2 linked regions of the Astyanax mexicanus genome follow. The protein of the gene in region 1 purifies or fractionates together with the protein of each later gene. This does not show direct contact. Links are inferred from orthologs where the notes say so. Each region holds a gene or a part of one and is shown on either strand. Other genes may lie near its edges. The genes, in order: bcar1 and bcar3.

Region 1 (11,931 bases):
TTGTTTTTGCTTCTTAACCCCTTATTTCTCTCTCTGCATGTACCTTTTTTGTTCTGTTCTTTTCTCTTTCATTGTTTCTTCTTCTACCACTTTCACTCTTCTATCTTTTCATCTTCTATATATGTGCTCCTTACTCTTAGTTTCTTGTTTTCCCTTTTTTTCTTCAATTGTTCAGTTCTCTCTGTTTCTGCTTCTCTTGCTTCTTTTTCTCTCCCCTTTTTCTATTTTTTTCCTCTATATCTGCTTCTCTTTATATCTGTCCCTCTTTCTTTCTCTGCTATATTTTCATTCTAGGCCCCCCCTTTCTTTTTTTGTCTGTTTTTGCCCTCTATATCTTCTCCTCTTCTTGCCTCACATGCCTTACTTTTTTCTTTCTTACTCTCCCGCAATTTTTCTCATTTCCTCCTTTTATTTTTTTTTATCTTTGTTCCCCCTTTTTTCTCTTTCTCTTTGCATTAGGCTCATTTTCTTTCATTGTGTTGGTCAGGCTGGGCATGGCCTTTAGTTCTGATTTCTGTTTGACTCATTCTTTTCCATAATTTGTTCTTTTTTTTCTTGTTCGTAAAGCAGCATCACAGCTGAAGAAACTGGAGGGGTAAAGCGTACAGAGTGCAGTCCCCCTCTCTGGCCATGGGGCACATGGGTCCTCCTTTTTTGCATGCAGTCTGAGTACAGTAGGTTAGACAGAGCAGGCACAGATCAATAATGCGAGCAGAGTAAAACCCTCACACTGGGATAGAGACTCCTGGCTTGTGGCAGTTTACACTGGAAAAAAGTGGTGTTTTGTTTGTTTGAGTTACATTAGATCTTTTGATATCAACACAGAAGTGTCTTTGAAACATATTAATAGTGATAGCTTTGATGAAATTTATTTATGTGGAAATTAGGGTAAAAATGCAACAGAATGCTCATGTTCTCTGTGTATAAAAGCAGCCTCATGGATCTGTAGGTAGTCATCTAGAATGCCTGATGTATATTTGGCACAAACTTCACATCCAGGCATGTGTAACTGTCTGTCACCAAGTGCAGGGCTTCAAATGAGGCCAGGGTCTTTACAAATAGACACCACTGTTGCGAGGATAATTATAAACAATCGCGGGAAAGTGAGCCAAAAATAACAGCAGGGTAACATGTTCCAAATGCCACTAACCTTCCAGCTCCAGCTCCTTCTGCTCTGGCCTCTGTCACAGTAAAGAGACCCCATTTGTTAATGCGTTGAGATGAACAAACTGTGCAGAAGTCAGTTAGCTGTAGTCTTCCAGCCCAAGGCTTTTTTTTATTTTGATTTCCCACCATGCAGCACTTACAGCAAAAAAATAGATAGATGGATAGATCAAGCAATTTTTAATCCCATGGTTGAATTTTCACATTGCAGTAGCCCCATGTACTTTATAATGTTCTTTTCTATAAAGTATAGATGCACAATGATATCGGAATTATATTTCAACGTCATACTTGCTGACATTTGTTGTATGACATACATGTACCAAGCATTGAAACATGAACGATTTAAAAAAAAAAACAGCAAAAATATGATTTCAAGTTTATCTACACTAGTGTATGTTGCCTCTACACAACAACTTCATTTAATTTTCTGAGATTCTGCTGTGTAAGATTTTAAAAATAAGCTGAAAATATTAAAATTTTCAGAAGCTCTGCATTATTTTAATGAAGTGAGGAAGAGGTTTCTGAGGCAGGAGCTGTTTGAACCCTTGTTCCAGACCCCTAGCACATTTATAAGCTAAAACTATTAAAACTAATTTCACGTTTCCCAAAGGTACAGCGTTCTTCCTAACATACAATGTACTGATTACAGCAAGGAGGTGAGGGATAATACAACTATTTGAAGGTCACAATTGAACCCCTGTCCTTCTGCCCCTGATTAAGTGTATAATTAAAAGCCATTTTCAGTGTTCAAGGCTGCTGCCGTCAGAAATCATCTTTGGGAAAAGATGCCTCTGGTGAGTGAAAGAGTCCATACACTACATCTGGTGAAATAACCATTATTCTGTTCTTCTTTCTTTTCTGGGGTCTTTTGGTTACAGTAATGTTCTAAAATCCAGTGCCTTAACCGTTAAACCATGTACTTCAGTTTTTTTTTTGCCCTCATAACTGCAGTTCTGCAATTCTCAGTGAAATAACAGCAATTTTATATATACCATCATGGAACCCTGTGGGACTCTTAACTGTTAGCAAATGTCTTATAGGCATTTATTCATTATGATTAAAGATCTAGGGTTCAGAAGGTTAATATTACTAAATAATAAAGATAATGCTGCCGTGGTAGGCCCTAAACAATTTTCTTAAGTCCTTGTTTTCTTACTGCACTAGATTTTTAGGGAAAGGGCAACTCGAACTTTTTATAAAGTAAAAAAAAAAAACTTTCGTTTAGTTGCCAGGAGCCAATGAGAAGGGTCTAATTTTTATTTAAAATGGCTGTAGTTCACACACAAGCAGCAATATCAATGTACAACCAAATGCTTAGACCCCCTTCAGCGTCAGACTGAGCATGTGCAGAGTATACTGGTCTGGTTTCAGCTAGGCTTCAACTACAATTTGTAAATTTTGCCAACACAGGTTATTTAGTCAGTTAGTGTGAATTAAGTTAGATGAGGCAATTGGTTTGTTGTACTTAATTTTTACTTTAAAATCACATTAAGAAGAAGAATGTAAAGTTTTTTTTATACACGTTGCACTGAATTAAAACTAAATCAGTCTTGTCCAATCGGAGGAGCACCACATCATCCAGCTAACAGAGAAATCTTTTTCTGTGAATTACTGGTACAGATGGTAAAAATGTCTAGTTAAATAAAGAACGACATTTTGGCTCTGAAAAACACTGGTTCTCCTGTCGATCATGCTGAACATTGCTCCCCTCTGCATGATCTTGTGATGGGAAGCATTATACAGCCGATCCTGACAAGCTGACATCATAACACTGTGAGAGCTTCATTAAAGTGAGTGCTCAAATTTTGACATCTACTACTACAAGCTGTCAGAATGACCTCGTCCAATTTACAGGAATTGTGTTTTCAGCCTGAAGACAAAAACAGATGACTGACGTCTGGAGCACCTAATCTGGGTTCTTCATGAGCTGAAATGTTGCAGTTAGTCAGATAACTTCATGCAAAGTCAGGCTTTATTAAATGGTCACAGAAAATGTTATTCATATTGAAGATCAGATCTCTCATACTCCAGTTCTGTTATGTATATATTTTAATCAAATAATAAACGTGTCCCATAGCTTACATAATAGTGTTTTGTCTTTGGTAATATTTGGTAGCATGATTTTGTATGGTTTTTTTTTTTTTTTTTGACAGAACACATTTCAAACCCCTTGCAAGGTTTATTAGTACAAAAGCATCCAATACTTGGAGCAGCTAGTGGTTTGTTGGCTGTGAGGTTTGACTGCATGTTAACATTTTCTTAGAAAGGGAAAAGAGATCAGATCAAAAGGTTTAGAGAAAAGACCACTGACTTGCACAAACCTGAAAAAGGATACAAAAAGATAGCAATGGCACTGAACGTTCTGACAGACACAGCTGATGCATATTTCACTAGTTCACTGGCTGCACCTTATGGTGGCAGAAAGAGGCAGAAAGAGGACATTATTACTGGCTGACACTAGACTCCTGAGGAGGCAGGTGGTCAAGAATCATTAAGTGACTGCAAAAGACTGTGGCAGCAAACACTGAGCTTTTAGTTTGCACATTGATCTCCATGACCCTATATACCTCTTCTGACCTAAGTCATTAGAAACTGGAAAATTTGATTCAGTATAGATAACTGTTATCAGTGTTGCCTCAGGCAATGGTTTCGCTGTGAGGTGTTTTTGGATGATGCTGTTCATGGATGATGGTTGGATGCAACTTGGACCTTTCAGGAAGTCTGACTCCAGTAGTTTGTAATTTATCACACCCTGTCCCTGATCAGCAGTCGTGTACAGTGGGGAGAACAAGTATTTGATACACTGCTGATTTTTCAGGTTTTCCCAATTGCAAAGCATGTGGAGGACTGAAATTATTATCATAGGTACTCTTCAACTGTGAGTGATGGAATCTAAAACAAAAATCCAGAAAAATACATTGTATGATTTTTAAATAATTAATTTCCATTTTATTGTGGGAAATAAGTATTTGATCATCTATCAATCAGAAAGAATTTTGGCTCTCACAGACATGTTACTTCTTCTTTAAGAAGCCCTCCTGTTCTCCACTCATTACCTGTATTAACTGCACCTGTTTGAACTCGTTACCTGTATAAAAGACACCTGTCCACACACTCAATCAGTCAGACTCCAGCATCTCCACAATGCCCAAGACCAGAGAGCTGTGTAAGGACATCAGGGATAAAATTGTAGACCTGCACAAGGCTGGGATGGGCTACAGGACAATAGGCAAGCAGCTTGGTGAGAAGGCAACAACTGTTGGTGCAATTATTAGAAAATGGAAGAAATGCAAAAATAACGGATAATCTCCCTCGGTCTGGGGCGCCATGCAAGATCTCACCTCGTGGAGCATCGATCTTGAGGAAGGTGAGGAATGAGCCCAGAATTACACGGCAGGACCTGGTCAATGACCTGAATAGAGCTGGGACCACAGTCTCAAAAAAACGATCAGTAACACTCTACGCCGTCAAGGATTAAAATCCTGCAGTGCACGCAAGGTGCCCTTCCTCAAGCCAAAGCCCGTCTGAAGTTTGCAAATGACCATCTGAATGATCCAGAGGAGGAATGGGAGAAGGTCATGTGGTCTGATGAGACAAAAATAGAACTTTTTGGTTTAAACTCCACTCGTCATGTTTGGAGGAAGAAGAATGATGAGTACAACCCCAAGAACACCATCCCAACCGTGAAGCATGGCGGTGGAAACATCATTCTTTGGGGATGCTTTTCTGCAAAGGGGACAGGACAACTGTGTGAAGGATGGATGGGGCCATGTATCGTGAGATTTTGGCCAACAACCTCCTTCCCTCAGTAAGAGCACTGAAGATGGGTCGTGGCTGGGTCTTCCAGCATGATAACGACCCAAAACACACAGCCAGGGCAACTAAAGAGTGGCTCCGTAGGAAACATTTTAAGGTCCTGGAGCGCCTAGCCAGTCTCCAGACCTGAATCCAATAGAAAATCTTTGGAGGGAGCTTAAAGTCTGTGTGGCCCAGCGACAGCCACGAAACCTGAAGGCTCTGGAGGAGATCTGTATGGAGGAGTGGGCCAAAATCCCTGCTGCAGTGTGTGCAAACCTTGTCAAGAACTACAGGAAACGTCTCATCTCTGTAATTGCAAACAAAGGTTTCTGTACCAAATATTAAGTTTCTTTTTCTGGTGTATCAAATACTTATTTCCCACAATAAAATGGAAATTAATTATTTAAAAATCATACAATGTATTTTCTGGATTTTTGTTTTAGATTCCATCACTCACAGTTGAAGAGTACCTATGATAAACATTACAGTCTTCCACATGCTTTGCAAGTGGGAAAACCTGAAAAATCAGCAGCGTATCAAATACTTGTTCTCCCGACTGTATAAACCACAATGACTTAAAAATTCATGATTACAAGACAACAGGTTGTGTAATGCGAGCAGTAGCCTTAAGCAGTCTGGTCACTTGAAAGTCAGTGTGTGTACATGGCATAAGCAGTGCTCTTATATTCTCTACACTGAGAACATGTTGTGAGTGAAAGGAACTGTGGTACTAAGGTGAATTCTAAATTTGTAACATTCTGAAACCCCATCATCAAACACGAATGAGCATGCTCTTCAATAGACATGCAATGACTAGTAAAGTTTATTGCAACTTCCTGCACAGTGATGAAGCATTGTTCAGTCCTTCCTGCACAGTTTGTTTCCTTTCAACTCAATGTTTTTTCATCACCTGACATTCGAAACTACTCTTAAAATGTTTGAAGACCAGTGTAGTTCACTTTACATGAAACAACTAGGGTGTCTAAATGCGTATTACACCCTAATACAACAAGGTGTAGACTATATACTATATACTAATACTATAAACTAATTCTAATATATGGTATGTATTTATTGGAGTTTGATATTTTAGGTGGCCTACAAGAATGATCAGGCTAAACAAGGTAGATACCATGACCAAGCCGATCTTCCACAGCAGGACCATTTAAACCAAGCTGGCCAACCAGCATAACCAGTATTATCAGCATGACCAGCATTACCAAATTGGTTGACCACCATAACCTGCATGACCAAGCTGGTGGTCCACAGCCAGCATGATCACCAAGACTTAGCTGGTTCATTAGCCTTGACCAGAATCATCAAGCTGGATGACTAGCATGACCAAGCCAAGTTGATAGGCATGACCAAAATAAAATGCAACATACACCATGCTTGTTAACCTGTTGCTTAACAATATATGATATATGGTCCAACAGGACCCATACAAACACTCAAAGGCTGACCAATTCCATGTATGCATTGTGCATATTTGTGTATACTCAACTTGATCTTGACTTGGACTTGACATATCCTGATCCTGGTCTTGGTCTTGATTTGAACTGGACTTGGCAGTTTTGACTACAATGATGTTATTCAATTAGTACACATTTGGGACAGACCCCTCATACTGTCAGTTCAGGTCACAAAGTGTTAGAATATTAACTTATTAAAATATTAGGACCATGCCCTCACTGTACTCTGTCAAACATGTGTTTAACTGTTTTCTAGCCACACTTTAGGACTGTGCTGTGTTGTGTTCATTAAAAATTTACTGGAAATGTTTAATATTTTATCCTGTGAGTTTAGCATCAGGTGGATTTCACTGTTTATTTATCGATATTTCCTATTGAGTTGTTAATCAGTACGGTTTCCTGCCTGGATGAAGGTGTGGATGAAACCACACCACTGCTTATAGCAAGAGACTGTCCCTTTAAACTGAAGTTGAGAGAGAGACACAGAGAGAGGGGATATAGAAAGAGAGAGATACTGAGAGAGAAAGAGTGAGAAACTAAGAGAGAGAGACAGAGATACTGAAAGAGGCTGATAGAGAGAAAGAGAGATATACTGAGAGCAAGAGATACTGAGAAAGACACTGAGAAAGAGAGAGATATTGAGAGACAGATACTGAAAGAGAGAGAGAGAGAGAGAGGGACTGGCTCTGGCTCTGCAGCGAGTTGACAGGCTCCAGCTCCGCACAGCCGCAGTACTCACGCGGTCAGTGAGTGTGCGCGTGAACTAGCGGTGAAGCTAGCGGTCAGTAACGGCAGCGCGCGGGTCTCTCGCTCGTGTTTTCGTGCGGGTGGTGAGGCTGTGGAAGGGAGGAAGGGACTGGAGCTCTGAACGCTTCCCGTTTGAGGTGGACTGCGCTCTGCTGGGTGGGAGAATATTCCTGACACTAACCTCTCAGCAGCTTCAGAGAGAGAGAGAGAGAGAGCGCCGCGGAGCCCCGGTTTATACAGCGGACAGCATGGAGTAGAGCTGCACTGACCCACCGACCGACCGACCGCGACACCAGCTCACACATTCCGCGGGGTTATCTCTCTCTCTGTATCTTCTCTGTGTGTGAGAGCGCTCTTAAACACAGCCAGAGCGGAGCAGCCTGGTCGGGTACAGTCTCCAGAGAGCTGCAGTGGACTGGGAAGGACCACAAGATGTCTGTACCGGTAAGAAATGATGATAAAATTAACTTATTGTTATTATTTATCTGTTAGAACAGTGAAGCTGCTCTGCTTGACTGTAGCTGAATTCTGAGAGCTGTTCCTCTGACTTTCTCCAGCACCTTACTAACAAACAGCTTCAGCTTCACAGTCCCCACAGACTCTACCTGCTGTATTTACATAGATATCAGCCTACTGGACTACTGCTCTTATTATAATACATACTGTGTTATTATATTACTGTACTGAATTCTATACAGTACACTTAAACAAGTAATTCTAGAATTGATTGTACATTTCACATTTCCCACATATCTCATTTGTATGGTATTTTTACTTTTTTGACCAGTTCTTAAAAATATAAGCCAGTACCTAGCTGGCATTTTAACGATGAAATGCCAGTTTATGGTTGAACGTTTTATTTGGTGTTGATTTTAAAAAGTGAGTCAACATTGATATTGCAACGTTGTTTCAGCGTTGTACGTTTAAACTTTACTAAACCCTAGCTCACTAAAACTAAAAAAAATCACATGATTAACAAAGTGTTAACCATAAACCATCACTACCAATCTGATTCAACATCTGATCTCAAAAACACAATACAAATAGAATGATGAAGGTATGATGAAGAATTGGTGCCCAAATAAAAATGCAATCACAGCAAATTGAAATTAAACCACTTTTTCATCCCTCCATTCAACCGTTTTTTTAAATTGTACACAGAAAAGGCAGAAAGTTGAAAAAATTATGTTGATTTACTGTTAAAATGTTAAAGTTTTCACAATTATTTAACACTAAATGTTGTTTCAACGTTGTTCCAACGTTGAAACAACAACAGACATTACTTCAAACATATTTCAACCACATTTCAACACATTGAAGGTCCCTTGTGTGCCAGCTGGGTAATAACGTTCAGGTTACACTATAAATAATGCTTGAGTTTTCTTTTTACCACAATTTATACACAACCCACTGTCTTCCTATTGATATGTTTGTACTAGGTCTGCGCAATATATAATTTCTGTACAGATAACGCAATGTACACATGCAATAGTCACACCACAGGACGTGCAATGATTTCTGCACTGTCAAATTTAAAAAGAAAAAAAAAAAACATGACCAAAATGTAATGCAACATACACCCTGCATGTCAATCTGTTGCTTACCCAGTGCCCATATACACACACTCAAAGGCTGACCAGTTCCATGTATGCGTTGTGAATATGTGTACCGGTATACCCAGCTTGGTCTTGACTTGGACTTGACATGTCCTGGTCTTGGTTTTGACTCGGACTCGACTCTGGTGGTTCTGACTACAATGCTGTTATTCAATTAGTACACATTTGGGACAGACCCCTCATACTGTTAGTTCAGGTCACAGAGTGTTAGAATAGTAATTGATTAAAATATTATGACCACGCCCACACTGTTCACTATCAGACAAGTGTGTGTTTAACTTTTTTCAGTAATAATAGCTACTATTTACATTCAGTTTGCATTATTATTAATTATTATAACGGATTGTTAAAAAGAATAAATACCAGTACATCAACATTGATCTAATATATTCAGGTGAATATATTACCTGCATTTTAGCAAAATACATTTTTTAAATGTTTTTGCTGATACAAAGAAAAAATCATACTATTCTAGTTGTACATGACAATATCTAACAGATTGATGATTATATATACCCAATATCATTTGTTTTACTCTAACTAATGATACACATATTTCATTAATAACATTTACATGCTGGTTGATTTGCTTTAGGTGAAAATTCCTGTGTTTCTTAAAATTAAAATATACATCACAGAACAACTAAATATGACAGTTTTTAGTAAACAATACAATCCTGTGTTTAGACGTGCTTTGTGAAATCAGTTTGGTGTTATGGCACGAAATTGTGGAAAATGTCAATTATTCATATTGACGACTCAATAAGATAACGATATTAATGATTTAATTTTTGAATGGGCCAAATAGGCTGTTCCATGAACATGGCGTGTCTGTGATTCCCATATCAGGCAGCTCAGACCTGTAGGGAGTTGTGTTATCTCTCATCTGCTGTGGAAACTGGCCTGGGTGTTGTTATGCTGCAAACTGGCTGATACCAGCTGGAGAGTACGGTACGAGATTGGATTTCCAGAGCTATTACTCTGCGTATACAGTACCAACCCCCATAAATAAATCACTGTACTGACAACAGTAGAGGGAAAAGCCAAATCCTCATTCAGTGTTCTGTCCAGCCCGGAGACAAACAAATACATAATTGGCAGAAAGAGGCTCATTGGTTGTATATGCCAAATATGAGCTCGTTTGTTTGTCACAAAGAGGTGCTTTTTAAATTATGACTACATTCACTGAGCCACTGGGTTTTACAACAAACATTTGAAATAGTTAACATTAACAATGAGCTCTCAGGTGCTGACATTCATTATTCGTTTTAATACATGTGTGGAATAACTTATGGTTACACTGTGTAAACTCTATATGTAGAAACTAATCATAGAATAGTGTGGTTATAATACTTTTTACAGTGCATTCTGTTTTTTTTTTTTACATTTTGGTGATACTGTGTGTGATATAGTGTTGACTGTCTAGATTTTGCTTGTTATAAAAACTCTTTAGAATACATACTGGTTCTGCACTGAGTACATCATGATTATACTTTGTAGACTATAGTCACACAGTCTTACATATTCTTAAATATGGACTATTTAAGATTGGAATACTTGAATCTTGAATATGTAGATAACCCCATTCCGGCAGCTGGTCCCAGTCTGCACCAGTTGGCCACTGTGCAGCATTAAGGCTGCGTTTTACTCAAGCCGTGTGAGATTTAGTGAGTGGCCCTCAGGGACACAAAACTTTAGAAGCTTGCCAATTACAGAAATAGCACTCTGCCTGCAGAGAGACAGAGCAAGGCAACATGCCTTATTTTGTTTCCTGCCCGTTTTCCGGAGAATCCCACCTCCTGCTTACAGGCAGTAAAATGTTAGTGAGGATGACCTGCTAGCCAGTCAGAGCACAGGTGGGTGGGTCCTCTCTAAATACAGGTGGGGGGAAACAGACTGCGGTGTCCCTTGGGGCAGAGAGGGGCTAATTCGGGTCCTGTCTGTTTAAGTAGCAACCAATATAAATGCTGCAGAGGTTTGTGGAGTGCTGTGTAGAAGTAATGTGGAAGTATAACCTGGTTCTCTGGTGTTCACCACTTCAGGCTATGTGCTTGGGAAGATATATCAGCCTATATCTTTTACATTCCATTTGTTCATTGTGGAATCTTCTGTGTGGTGAAAACACAGCTCTGTGCATGTGCTAGCTTGATTGAGTTGCAATAACATGCTTTTTGCGTCAAGATTGCATCTTACTACCATTTGGCCAGATGCCTTTCATATCTTGTAAATGTGTGAGCAAGTGGAAAACTGCAGCAAAAACATCAACGAAACATCTGTATTCTCCATCTCCTGTTGGAACATCTCAATGTAGTCTGATTGATTGGAACATACTCTGATCACATTGGGTTCTGGTTGGGTGTACACCTGGAGTTTAGTGAAAATGTATATTGCTGCAATGTGTAAACCACCTATAATTGTATTTCAATCATAACACTCAAACACTGAATATCCTTTTGTGCAAAGAAAATGGAAATTGCTATGGAATTTGTAGTGTAAAAAACAGTAAATATGAATAGCAAAAATTATATTGGCATGTCCACAAGTTCAGTCCCTTTCCTTAGCCAAACTGGGATTATAAATAGTAGACTTTGCTCTTTAAGCCAGACTGACAGTTTAAAGTGTTAAAGGAAAAATTTAAGACCGTTAAATAACACCAATCAAAAACACAAATAAAGCAACTATAAATGAAATATACCTGCAACAATAACTTGTCAGATTGCTAATTGATGTTTTGATGGTTTGGTTACTGAATTGGCTGATTCAGAGTTACCACTAACTAAGCAGAGGAAGTAAGTGGGTACTTGATGGCTGCTAGGCTAGAAGCTAACCAAGCCAACTGCTTACAGTCTCTTCTGCTATTTACCAGCAAATTGCGCTGAATAAACACTGAGAGAACCCAAAGAACACAGAAGGAAATTTGGAAAGTGCTAAAGCTATGTTGTGCTCTGTATTTTTATTTTTACAGGAAAACATTTGTTTTATTTAAGTCCATGTAACGGGCAAATATGCTTGTAAAACTGCATCTGAGCTATTTTTGCCCCAACCAAAGTCACACAGTTACTATTACACATCAAAGAACAACTTAAAATATTAAATTAGTGAATTCCACTGCAACTTTATACAAAACCCTT
Region 2 (11,275 bases), on another chromosome or scaffold:
TTTTTCATATGACTGTATGTATGTAACATCTTACGCCTGTCTCTCCCACATTCAGCTCCACCTGCGTTCTCCAGTCTTCAGAATACAATAACCAAAACGCACCATACATTGACATTACACCCTCACACAACCACATTACACTGCACACGACACTACCCGAAAGCCCATCACCCAATTATTGATTACACCTGTGCCACACAGTATAAATACACCTCCAATCCACTCACTCATCGCTGAGTATTGTTTGGCTAACCCCTACTTTACGACGCATTTCTGATTATTGATTACATTGGTTGAAATGTCTTCATACAGAACCAGTCAAAGGTCAAAAGTGTTAAATAAACCAGAATATGTTTTATATTTTAGGTTCTTCTAAGTATCACATTTATCCAGCTCATCCCAAATCACCATCTTAGTTCATCAGGTTTAGATCAGGGGATTAATGTGGAGGATTAACACTTTTCTGCTGTTTACTTAATTGTTTTTTTTTTGTATGTATTTAATATTAATCTACGATGCAAAAAAATAAACTACATAAAGAAATAAAAAAAAACTTTTAATGATAAGGTGTTTACAAACTTTTGACTGGTACTGTTTATTGGAAGAATGAACAGAGATACATGTTGTAAACCACTGTTTTGGAGTGTTTAAGGAAAATTATTCAAATCTTCCAACTCTAACCAAACCTGCCACTAACTCACTGGCAGCTGGCAATAAACTGCCATTGGCTGCCTGGCAGCTGCCACTCAAGCTGCACCACCTGTTTACTGGCAGCTACCACTCAATCTGCCAATTGCATGACTGGCAGCTGTCAGTAACAGCTGATGCCTGTGATTGACTGGCAGAACCACTGTAGGTACATTAGTATTATAAAACATAGTATTGCAATACTGCAATATACAATATATAGATAAATAATTGTGACATTATTTCAATATATCTTTAGATACTAAAGAGTAAAAAAGTTCCGTCTAGCCGTTCTGTCATTCTGTCAATCAGCTGGAACAGCAAACCCTCTATCCAAGGCCGGGTTGCCAGATTGGGTGTGCGTGCCTTTGCCGGGTTTTCTGCATGATTAGAGAGACCACATGAGACGTGAGCTCCCATCATGCCTCAGTGTTGTGGTGGGATGGGAGACTAAATGCTGCCAGAGGCTCCTCAGGTCTCTCTCGCTATCTCTACCCTCCCAAATCCCTCCCAGCATCTCCACCACACCCAAATTACTACCAAGTGCCCCCCGCCCCCGACGCCCCTCCGTATCTGCACTGCACATGCTCCACAGCCCTGGTGAACCGAACTCAGCTGGAGCTCCGTTCTCTCAGATTCTTATTTCTCTAATGGAAGCCGTTTGAAGCAGCTCGGCGTTACTGCAGTCTGGATCCAGTGCCAGAACTTTGATGAAGAGCCCAAGCTGGTCCAAGTTTTGCAGGAGATCCGCAGAAGAGCAACTCACCTGACCCCAAAGCCCAGGATGTAAAGGGTTCACTTATATAACTCTTTGGGTAGATTGCTTTATAACTGCAGTATCTCAGAAAAGTACCCAGCTATAACAGGGAATTTTATATGAACGTTTAGCAACTTTTTCTAAAGGTTCGACAATAGTTTGCATTGCAGTAGATTAGAACCTTTCTCAAATTTTAGATTGCCAGCAAGATGGAGGTTCCCATTATGGAAAAAAGTAAAAAAAAAAAAACTGAAGCTAAAACACTCCCAAACTAAAACTTAAAACACTGGCAAGTGACGCTCTAAAAACATCCAAAAACAGAATTAATTTGAAATATTCAAAACAATTCTACCAACCAAAAATTGCTAGCTATGTCACCACTTCTGATTATTTCTGCATTACTTTGCATCACTTTTCAGTCATTTAAAGTAATGAAACATACCATTCCTGCTGAAAAAAAGTATATAAAAATTTCCTAATCTTTAAAAAACACTTTTATTGTAGTAATTTCTGCTTCTGCAGTGCCCTCTCAGGTTCAACTGTGCTATAGGAGAACATAATGTGTCCGTGTACTTTGGTACGCAGATACATTACAATATGCAGATCAGTCAATCAATAATACCCCCGCCCCCCTGCTGACGTCCAACCGTCTGCGTCTCGCCGCTATCAGAAGCACACTGCTGCTGCAGCTCAGCCAATCAGCTTCTCTCCCTCCTGCCACATCTCTAAACCCATACATCACTCAGTTCCCCCTTCCAAGCTATCCATCTTATTATTTTGCTTTTTTCAAATTTGAGCTGAGGGTAGAGTCAGCTAAAATCAAGAGTTTAATTGCCCTTTAAGTAAAAGCTACAGTGTGGGCTACTATGTGGTGTACTAGGTGTACTTGTCACCTTTCCCAATTTGCAAATTATTGATTATTGTTTATAGTAAATGCAGTATCTCTTCTGAAACATGTCTAAAGGTTTGGGACAAAGGGAAATAGCAAGAGTGTGAGAGAATAGGGAGTGGTGGATTACAGTGGACAACAGAGTCTACATGGCAACCCATTAAACCCTAGGCTAATTATTGTGCTATTATTCCTAATAGAGAAACTATTGTGAATCATGGAGTTCCACAGGGTTCAGTTGAAGGGCCTATAAAAATGTAAAGAGCTGTAAGAAGTGTAAGTTTTACATACAGGATCTACCAGCTTAAACACTAAACACTAACAAACCTGATGTTCTGAAAATAAAGCTAAAAGCTTTTTAAATTTCAATAATCAATAATTTTGTGCACGCATTCAATTATTACAGCTTTGCTTTTGTCCGAAATAATTTAATTGAAAAGATTGAACATTTGAATATTGCAGACTGATTAAAAAGACAGAATAAAAAGGACTTTTAGACACAAACTGTAGGCAAAAAACAGAAAAAGTACAATACAAAGATAGAAAAGGGAATACTAAAGTAACCAATAAAAAAAGAAAATACAGCTCTGGAAAACAATTAAGAGACCAATTAAGTTTCTGAATCAGTTTCTCTGATTTTGCTATTTATAGGTTTATGTTTGAGTAAAATATACAATCTTGTTTTAGTCTATAAACTACGAACAATATTTCTCCCAAATTACTAATAAAAATATTGTCATTTAGAGCATTTATTTGCAGAAAATGAGAAATGGCTGAAATAACAAAAAAAAAAAAAGATGCAGAACTTTCAGACCTCAAATAATGCAAAGAAAACAAGATCATATTCATAAAGTTTTAAGAGTTCAGAAATCAATATTTGGTGGAATAACCCTGGTTTTTAATCACAGTTTTCATGCATCTCGGCATCATGTTCTCCTCCACCAGTCTTACACACTGCTTTTGGATAACTTTATTCTTTACACTACTGGTGTAAAAATTCAAGCAGTTCAATTTGGTTTGATGGCTTGTGATCATCCATCTTCCTCTTGATTATATTCCAGAGGTTTTCAATTTGCTAAAATCAAAGAAACTAAAAATCATTTTTAAGTGCTCTCTTATTATTTTCCAGAGCTGTAGGTACACACATATGCATTACTGAAATGCTTTAGTACAGCCTGTTAGTGTATGCTTATCTTATAGTAAAATAGCAGCATAATACTCTAATATTTAGACATTCATAGTTAGTCCACTTTTTCCCACTTTTTGATGTTTAAAGTTTTACCAAACGCTCAGTGTTCCTAAAAGTGTTAAGGTTAAGATTAGGATTAAGACTAAGGTTAGACTGAGGATTATGGAATACACTGAAGAGATGAGTAGATCACATTCAGTATGTAGTCTTTTCCATATGAATTACTTTAGTACATTACAAACTACTGCCTCGTGACTTTTAGCATGCCAGTTTATGTTTATATCTAATAAGAGCATATCTGTATAATAAGAATTAGACATTTTTGGGTCACTCTATTTGAAATACCCTTTGTTTTTAATTTTTTTGATGTTTAAAGTGTTACAAACTATCACTATTCTTTATTGCGTTAAATTTAAGATTAGGACTAAGATTAGAGGGGTAAATTGAGGATTAGGGAATACACTAAATAGATAAAGATAAAGAGATACAGATATTGTAATAGAGTGAAGAGTGAAGAGCTACAGTGGAACAGTTCAGAAGAAAAGTTTCCTCAGCTGTGATTGCTGAGTGCTGAACTTACCTCAGCAGTGCTGATCTGCAGGATTCAGGATGCTGCTGAATCCAGGTGAGCTCTGTAGATCTGCAGGTCCTCAGCTTCACTTCCAGCATCAATATTAATCAAACCAATCAGTTACTGAAGTGTACTGGAGAACTGTCCTACATCAGCCGGGTTCCCCTCACTGCAGAGACTGTGCTCTCCACTCCACTGTCCTCCACAGCAGCGCTGTGTGTGTGCGTGTGTGTGTGTGTGTGTGTGTGTGTGTGTGCACTCATCAGGCTGGCAGGATACACACTCTCTCTGCTCGTCTTGCCTCTCGTCTCAGCTCGTCTGCACTGGAGCGCATGCAGAGATGCTGACATACACAGCATTCCTCACCCAGCGCAGACACACACACACACACACACACAGCTTACACTCCAACCACACATCCATTATCATCTTCCATTCAGCCGCACTGGGTATACCTTCTCTGATTGACAGATTGAAATATATAGTAGATATGGTTCAATATCAATCAATTAAAATCCATATAAAAAATCCCAATAATTACCAGTCCTATCTGTAATCTGGAGATAATCCCGCCCCCTTAAGAAAGTACATTTTGATATCAATATCAGTCAGTCTGCCTCACATCGGACTTCCCTGACTCTGCAGTGCAGGGGCGCTCCCGCTCCCCCAGTTACTGATTGTTTGCACCTGACCTGTCTAGCATAAATACCCCTCTGTTTGCTCTGTTCCCTGCAGAGTATTGAATCTAGTTATCTATTTCTTCTACTATTTCTTCTACTCTCTATTATTGATTCAGTTGCTGGCCATTTTTGTATCATTGACACTTGCAGCTCAGTGCATGTTCAGCGATAAATAATATTTATTTCATTTAATATATATCCGCTTAGTATGTGGTGCTTACCACTTACTATCTGGTGCTCACCACTTAGAATGTGGTGCTCACCACTCAGAATGTGGTGCTCACCACTTAGTATGTGGTGCTCACCGCTTTTTTGGTTAAAAAAAAAATGCACCACGTCCCTTCAGGGGCTCCATACAGCATCATAGCAGTACAGAAAAACAGTGTACACCACAGTGTACTGAGCTTCTGTGAGTCCCTGTGAGCCTCTGTGGGTCTTGTATACACCACTATAGATTGCAGACAGAGTGGTGAACACAAACAGCACTGCTTTCACTATTGTCTTGTCACGTGGCAGCCAGCCAAGACTAACTCAGCTCTGCTTTGACCATTCTTCTGCAGATACGACCTTCTGCTGTCATTTCCTCTGCAGTCTGCTTATGCACCATGCCCAGTCCTATCCACATCTTCTTCACGGTCAGGATTATAGTGGGTTTTGTGGACCTGGAAACCCACCCAGAAGCACTGGGCACAAGGCAGGAATACCCCATGGACAGGGCACCAGTTCTTTGGCATCCTGCAGCACATTTACCCACAGATGTGTGGGTGAGCATTATCCTGCTGAAAATATCAGTTGAGTCACATTAATTACTAGATACTAGGGTTTAAAATACTTCTGTAGAAGTTGAAGTATCAACTCGAGCTTTTTACTCTTTCAGTAAAACTGTAAAAGTACTGCTTAGTAATATAAGAGGAAAAAATAAAGCCATTAAGAACAAAGATTAGGCCACGCCCACAAAGTCCTATAGTGCTCTACCCCCCAACCCCCCCCCCCCCTAAGCACAATATAATGTTCTATTAAAATGTTAATGCTACATATCTGCTCATTGTATTTTAGTAGAATGCAAAAATAGACGTGGTATGTGCAGGTGTGATGCATCACAGTATAAACCAATAGAGAGTCGGAATGGTATATGTTTATACTTCTCTACATCCAATCACAATCAATCAGATTCACTCTATCTGGATGGAGAGATTTATCTGGATAGGGGTTTTATAGAACAGGAAAGGCAAATTGTATTTTTCACACTATAAGGTTCACTTAAAATCCTTAAATTTTCCCAAAAATCACCAGTGCATCTTAGAATCCCATGCACCTTATGTATTAATTCTACCAGTCAGGTATTAAGGAGCAGTAAAGCCACTGAATGCTGAAGTAGTGTTACAAGGGTGACCATGCTTATAGAAAATCTAAGCTTAGAAGCACTTTACTCACCCAAATAAAGTTTTTTCAGGAAAGACATCTGTGTAGATTAACATCCAGGGCTTGTTTGACCTTTTTTTTTTAAACATTTTTATAGAAGGGAAACATGGTGAAACCCTTGTTCCTTACTATTGTTGCAAAAAAAATGCACCTTTAGCCCTATCCGGACGGGATAAGTTACTCAGGGGGTCGTCTGTGTAAAATATTTTACTCTTCTACTCAGTGATAAAACTCTTGCAAACAGGAGGACCAGTGAGTTTTTTGGCTGAAGGACATCGCGTTCAGTATCTCCTCCATTTCCACTCGCTGTTGTGTTTTTAACATGGATCTCCATGGAAACGTGTGCCCAAAGTACAATTACGGTGTGTGGCAGAGGACAAATAGCTATTTTATTAAATGCAATGTGAGTCTGAACTGGACTAAAGGTCCACGGAGTTCAGCAAAAAACATTAGATAATTCAACCTGTAATTTTCTCAGAGGACGTCTGAGAAAAACATGAATACATGGACGTTCTGGACAGGAATAAAATCACAGAGGATAAACCCCCCCATAAAAGAGAATAGCGATTTATGTATGAAAAAAGACCAGAAAATAGGCGTTAATAGAGCTGAATGGCGATGGCAAGTCTGAAATCATATTGTAAATATACAATAATAAATGTTAAGATAAAGAAATTTGTATTGGGTCTTTTAATAGCTGTTGCCAACACCAAACAGATACACAAGTTTTAAGCTGTTGGAGTGATGGGGATTGTAGCAGCTCCAGAGCTTTGTGTGCGGGTTCTCCTCAGCTCTCGCCTACAGTAAACATGAAATGTACCACCAACAATGCCACGTTTGTTTTGTGTCTCACTGGAGCCATTGTGAAGATATTTGTGCTCTCTCACTCTGTCTCACTCTCTCACACACACACACACACACACACACACACAGGGGATGGCTCTGCCAGTCATGTCATCTGCTACAGTCACTGCCTCACCAAACTGGCATGTCAATATTTGTAGCACCAATTAGGGCCTGGCGGAGAGAAAGGCGCGATTGTGCGCTCACTCGTGCGCTCATTACTGCCTGCTGGAGCTGCCCGCTGGAGCTGCCCGCTGGAGCAGGGCATTCAGAAGGAAACCAGAGATGGCACGCCACTCCTTCTCATCGTCTCACACTGAGGAAAAGCCATTAAGCAATGATAACAGAGCACGTCCATCCACAGGCTCTACCAAGCCCTTCATCTCAATCTAATGACACTTTCTCAAAGCACTTCCATACAGCAGCCTCGTTTATAGTAGTGCTGGGCCTGTGATATAGAGCTTAGCGTCGACTACTGTTACAGTTTGGCTCTTGTTATAGAGAATCTCAAAGGGTATTCTTTTTTTGTCCCAGTTGACACTTTAATTTTAACCATATGAACCCTAATTTTATTATTCTACAATCAATGACAATGTGGAAACCGCATAATACCGTATTTTTCTCACTATACGGCACACTTAAAATCCTTTAATTTTCCCAAAAAATGCCGGGATGCCTTATGTATGAATTTGACCAGTCAGTAGCAGTAAAGCCACTCCGCTGAAGTACAGCTTTATCCAGGAGTTTCAGCTAGTTCTCCAGCACTGAGGCTAGAGTAGCATTAGCATTAGCCGCTAAACGCTATTTTCCCCGTTCAGAGGTGTGTGTTATCAGACTGTAAACTGCTCCTAACCCTGGCTAGCACTGCTGGAGCAGCATTAGCATTACCCGAACTGTATCTACGTGTTTACCATCTTAAAACAAGCTACATAGGACTACATGCTAGCTGATATCGCCCTGGCTTTCCAAAACACTCAGGGTTCCTCTGTGTAGCGCTGTCAGCCAGCACAATGCTAATCCTCCAGCCTTAGTGCTGGAGAAATTTGTGAATTTAAGCTTACTTAAATTAAACGGAAGTGCTTTACTCACCCAAATAAACAATTTTCAGGAGAGAAATCTGTGTAGATTAACATCGAGCGCTCGTTTAACTTTAAAAGAAAGTCTTTTTTAAGATTTACAGTTTTGTTTACTTAGCTTAGCTTTACTTAACTTAGTTAGACGTTCCTTATAGTGCCTCTTAAAATGCGCCTTATATTTGAAAATAGACCAGAAAATAAGTGTTCATTGTTATTGCGCTTTATAGTGCGAAAAAACAAACAAACGGTACTATAATTTATTTTGTAACAGTTTAGTGTCTATTGTGGAGTTTCCACAAGTATCTATTTTTTTTTTTTTGGGTCTATGAAACTGATGCTAATTGTGATGGAATTGCAGTTATGAGTGTGGGCTAATATACAGGATTTAATAAGTAAATAAAAAACTTAAAACATAAAAGCACACCTTTTTTATGAAGGTAATTCGTTTTTATTCTATTATCTGTTTAAAGTGCAAAAGAAAATACTTAAAGAGCTTTTTTATTCTAGCTTTCACAGGTGATGGCTGTATCATCAAAGAGGGAGAAAGAGAGATACAGGGAGCAGGGAGAGAGATACAGACATAGAGAAAGAGAGACAGAGAGAAAGAGAGACAGGGGGAGATAGAAAGAGAGAGAGAAAGGTTGCCTCTGGACAGTCCTGCCCTGACAGGCAGTTCAAGCTCACAGTGAAAATCTGCACCCTGAGAACACAACACTGATCTCCTCCAAACACAGAATTCCTCACCATCCACACACACTATACTCCCTACTCTCATATCCCTGCCTGAGGTCACCATCACACCTGATCTGTTTACCAGTCAACATGCTGCTCAAACAATTCTGCATAACTGCTTAACATGATTAATTATCAGATTCTAAAGTGTCAGATTTCTCCTTCTACAGCCACAGACAGAGTTGAACATATGCAGGTAGCTGCGCCATTAAAATAGCAATGTGCCAAAGTCAGAGCACACCTGGCTCTTAAAGGAAATGGCAAGTGACACGCTGCTTGGTTTATTATTTTATTTGTTTTATTCCCAAATCACACCCATGATTAACTAAGAGAATTAGTAGATGCCTTTTGCACGTTTTCAGACGTGCAAGTTGTACTTTTCCCGTCATTATGATAGCAAAGACATGTTCATGCATTTTCAACGAAACAGTGCAAAACCACATGTGCCAGATATTAAAAAGGCATGGCTTTCAACCCTCCTGTCATTTTACGGGTCAAAAGTGACCCATTTAAAAGTTTGAAGATCTAGGAAAAATAGTTAAAAATAGTTTTTTTTTTTCAGTATAAAACTTCTTCTGCTTGCCTTAATTAGTGTAATCCACAAAACTAACATAAAACTAACAAAAACTAAAACAAAATACAAAGTTATGTTTTAATGTTATGTAAAGCTGTTTTGTCTAATATGTTGGTCTTTGAAAAGTAGTAAAGTAGTGAAACATTAAAAAAAAGTTTAACATGTTTTTTTTTTTTTTTTTTTTATTGAGTGACTATCCTGATTGAACCATTACCTATTAGAGGTAAGGAACACCACTGCACTAAATATTGATAGAAAATTGATGATAAAATATTCACTTTGCTTGTTTGGATTTTTTAAAATAATTATTGTTTCGGATATTATTGTATATTTAAACATGCACCGGATCAAATTGACCCGGGGACACCATTGCTGTTCCTGATAAATGTACACGACAGGAGGGTTAATTGTTGGAATAGCAATATTACAAAGCTTTTTTGTAAGGTGTTGATGGTCTGAAATGTAGGAAAGTAAATTAATAAATTATTTTTTAAAAAGTTAAGCAGGCAAAACATGAAATACCTTGTATTTATATTGTCAGCAATCAAAGTAAAAGTAAAATAAAAGTAAAAAATCCATTTGCATTTTCCTTCCAGTACCAATAAGTGCTGTCTAGGCATGGTCACACTGCAGCAGCAGCTCCATGTCTGTGCATTGTCCATGTCTCCACCATCTACGGCCCACAAGGCAGGTCTATTCACCACCACAGCCATCATTTATCACTCTCACTCACCTGCGTCTGAGCTGAATCACTGGAAACTGAGCCTGCTCACAATACACACGGAAACACGATCGATTATGGTGACAAATTAGGTCACAATGAGGTCATTCATACCTTTTCTGGCAAAAGGCAAGCAGTATTTAAACTGATCATAAAGCGATGCCTCATGAGATGGCTTGGAAATGCACACACCTGTATACATTGGAGGTGTTATCTTGTGAGCGAAGTCTGATAGATGTGGGTTCCATTTCTTAAAAGGGCACTAACCCCCATATTTCACCCTCCACCTTTAGCTTGAATTTAAAAAGGCTAAAAAAAAAACAAAAACAAAGGGTTTTTTTTTTGCGGGGCACTGGGTGATGTATGGGTTTAGGGGCGGGGCAGGTGGGAGAGCTGATTGGCTGAGCTGCAGCAGCAGCAGTGTGCCTCTGATAGTGTAGAACATACTCAATCATAAATGGTACAAATATAGTGTAAAATAAATAAATTAGCAATGGACATAAACTGAGCTTCGGAAATGGATTTTACAAACTATTTGTATGTAGTCACACTTTCATCATAATAACTAGAAAAAGACACAGATAAAACACAGAGAACTCTGTAACTATTAAAAGTATAAGTCTTTTCTTTATAGAAATTACAGATGAAGCCAGAGAGCGGTGAGTACTGTTTCCTACACCTTCAAAAGACTCTTGGAAACTGGAGAAAAAAAACTGCTACAGGAAGATTCACGTCTGGCTGACCCACATGGAAACAGCAGCTTTAGCCTTTAGCTCAGATTAACATGATTAAAGACTGAGTCTCAGTTTCAGCAGAGAAGAAAAGAATTAGACGTCTGACAGGTGAAGAACTGCAGGAATAAAGTCATTGCTTAGAAGAGAAATGAAAAAAATGCAGCTTTAGGAAATACGTAAATGCATTAGCTAATTAACAATATCATACAACAGGCTGTGAAAGACAGCTATACTTTGAGTATCAGCCAATGATCTCAGGGTTCATAAAATAAAATATGTGGTTTCTAGGCCCACTGAAACGTGCTAATTTGGGGGATTTTAAAGAGCCTAAACTATATTTTTCCATTAATAGCTGCAATGTGTTTCTTTGAAGTAATGAGACATAACAGTCCTCCTTAAA

Evidence for each region.
Region 2: the proteins of bcar1 (region 1) and bcar3 purify together in Homo sapiens (co-immunoprecipitation; 4 studies listed by BioGRID and IntAct, counting the BioPlex papers as one, with this or other methods). This does not show direct contact. The link is inferred for Astyanax mexicanus from reciprocal best matches to the Homo sapiens genes BCAR1 and BCAR3.

What each region holds. Positions count from the first base shown.
Region 1 is NC_064416.1:26,067,027-26,078,957, forward strand, and holds the start of bcar1 (breast cancer anti-estrogen resistance protein 1), read left to right. Parts: upstream 1-7,044; 5' UTR 7,045-7,616; coding exon 7,617-7,628; intron 7,629-11,931. UniProt on the Homo sapiens protein: Docking protein which plays a central coordinating role for tyrosine kinase-based signaling related to cell adhesion. Implicated in induction of cell migration and cell branching. Involved in the BCAR3-mediated inhibition of TGFB signaling.
Region 2 is NC_064419.1:45,427,258-45,438,532, forward strand, and holds the start of bcar3 (breast cancer anti-estrogen resistance protein 3), read right to left. Parts: upstream 4,374-11,275; 5' UTR 4,103-4,373; intron 1-4,102. UniProt on the Homo sapiens protein: Acts as an adapter protein downstream of several growth factor receptors to promote cell proliferation, migration, and redistribution of actin fibers.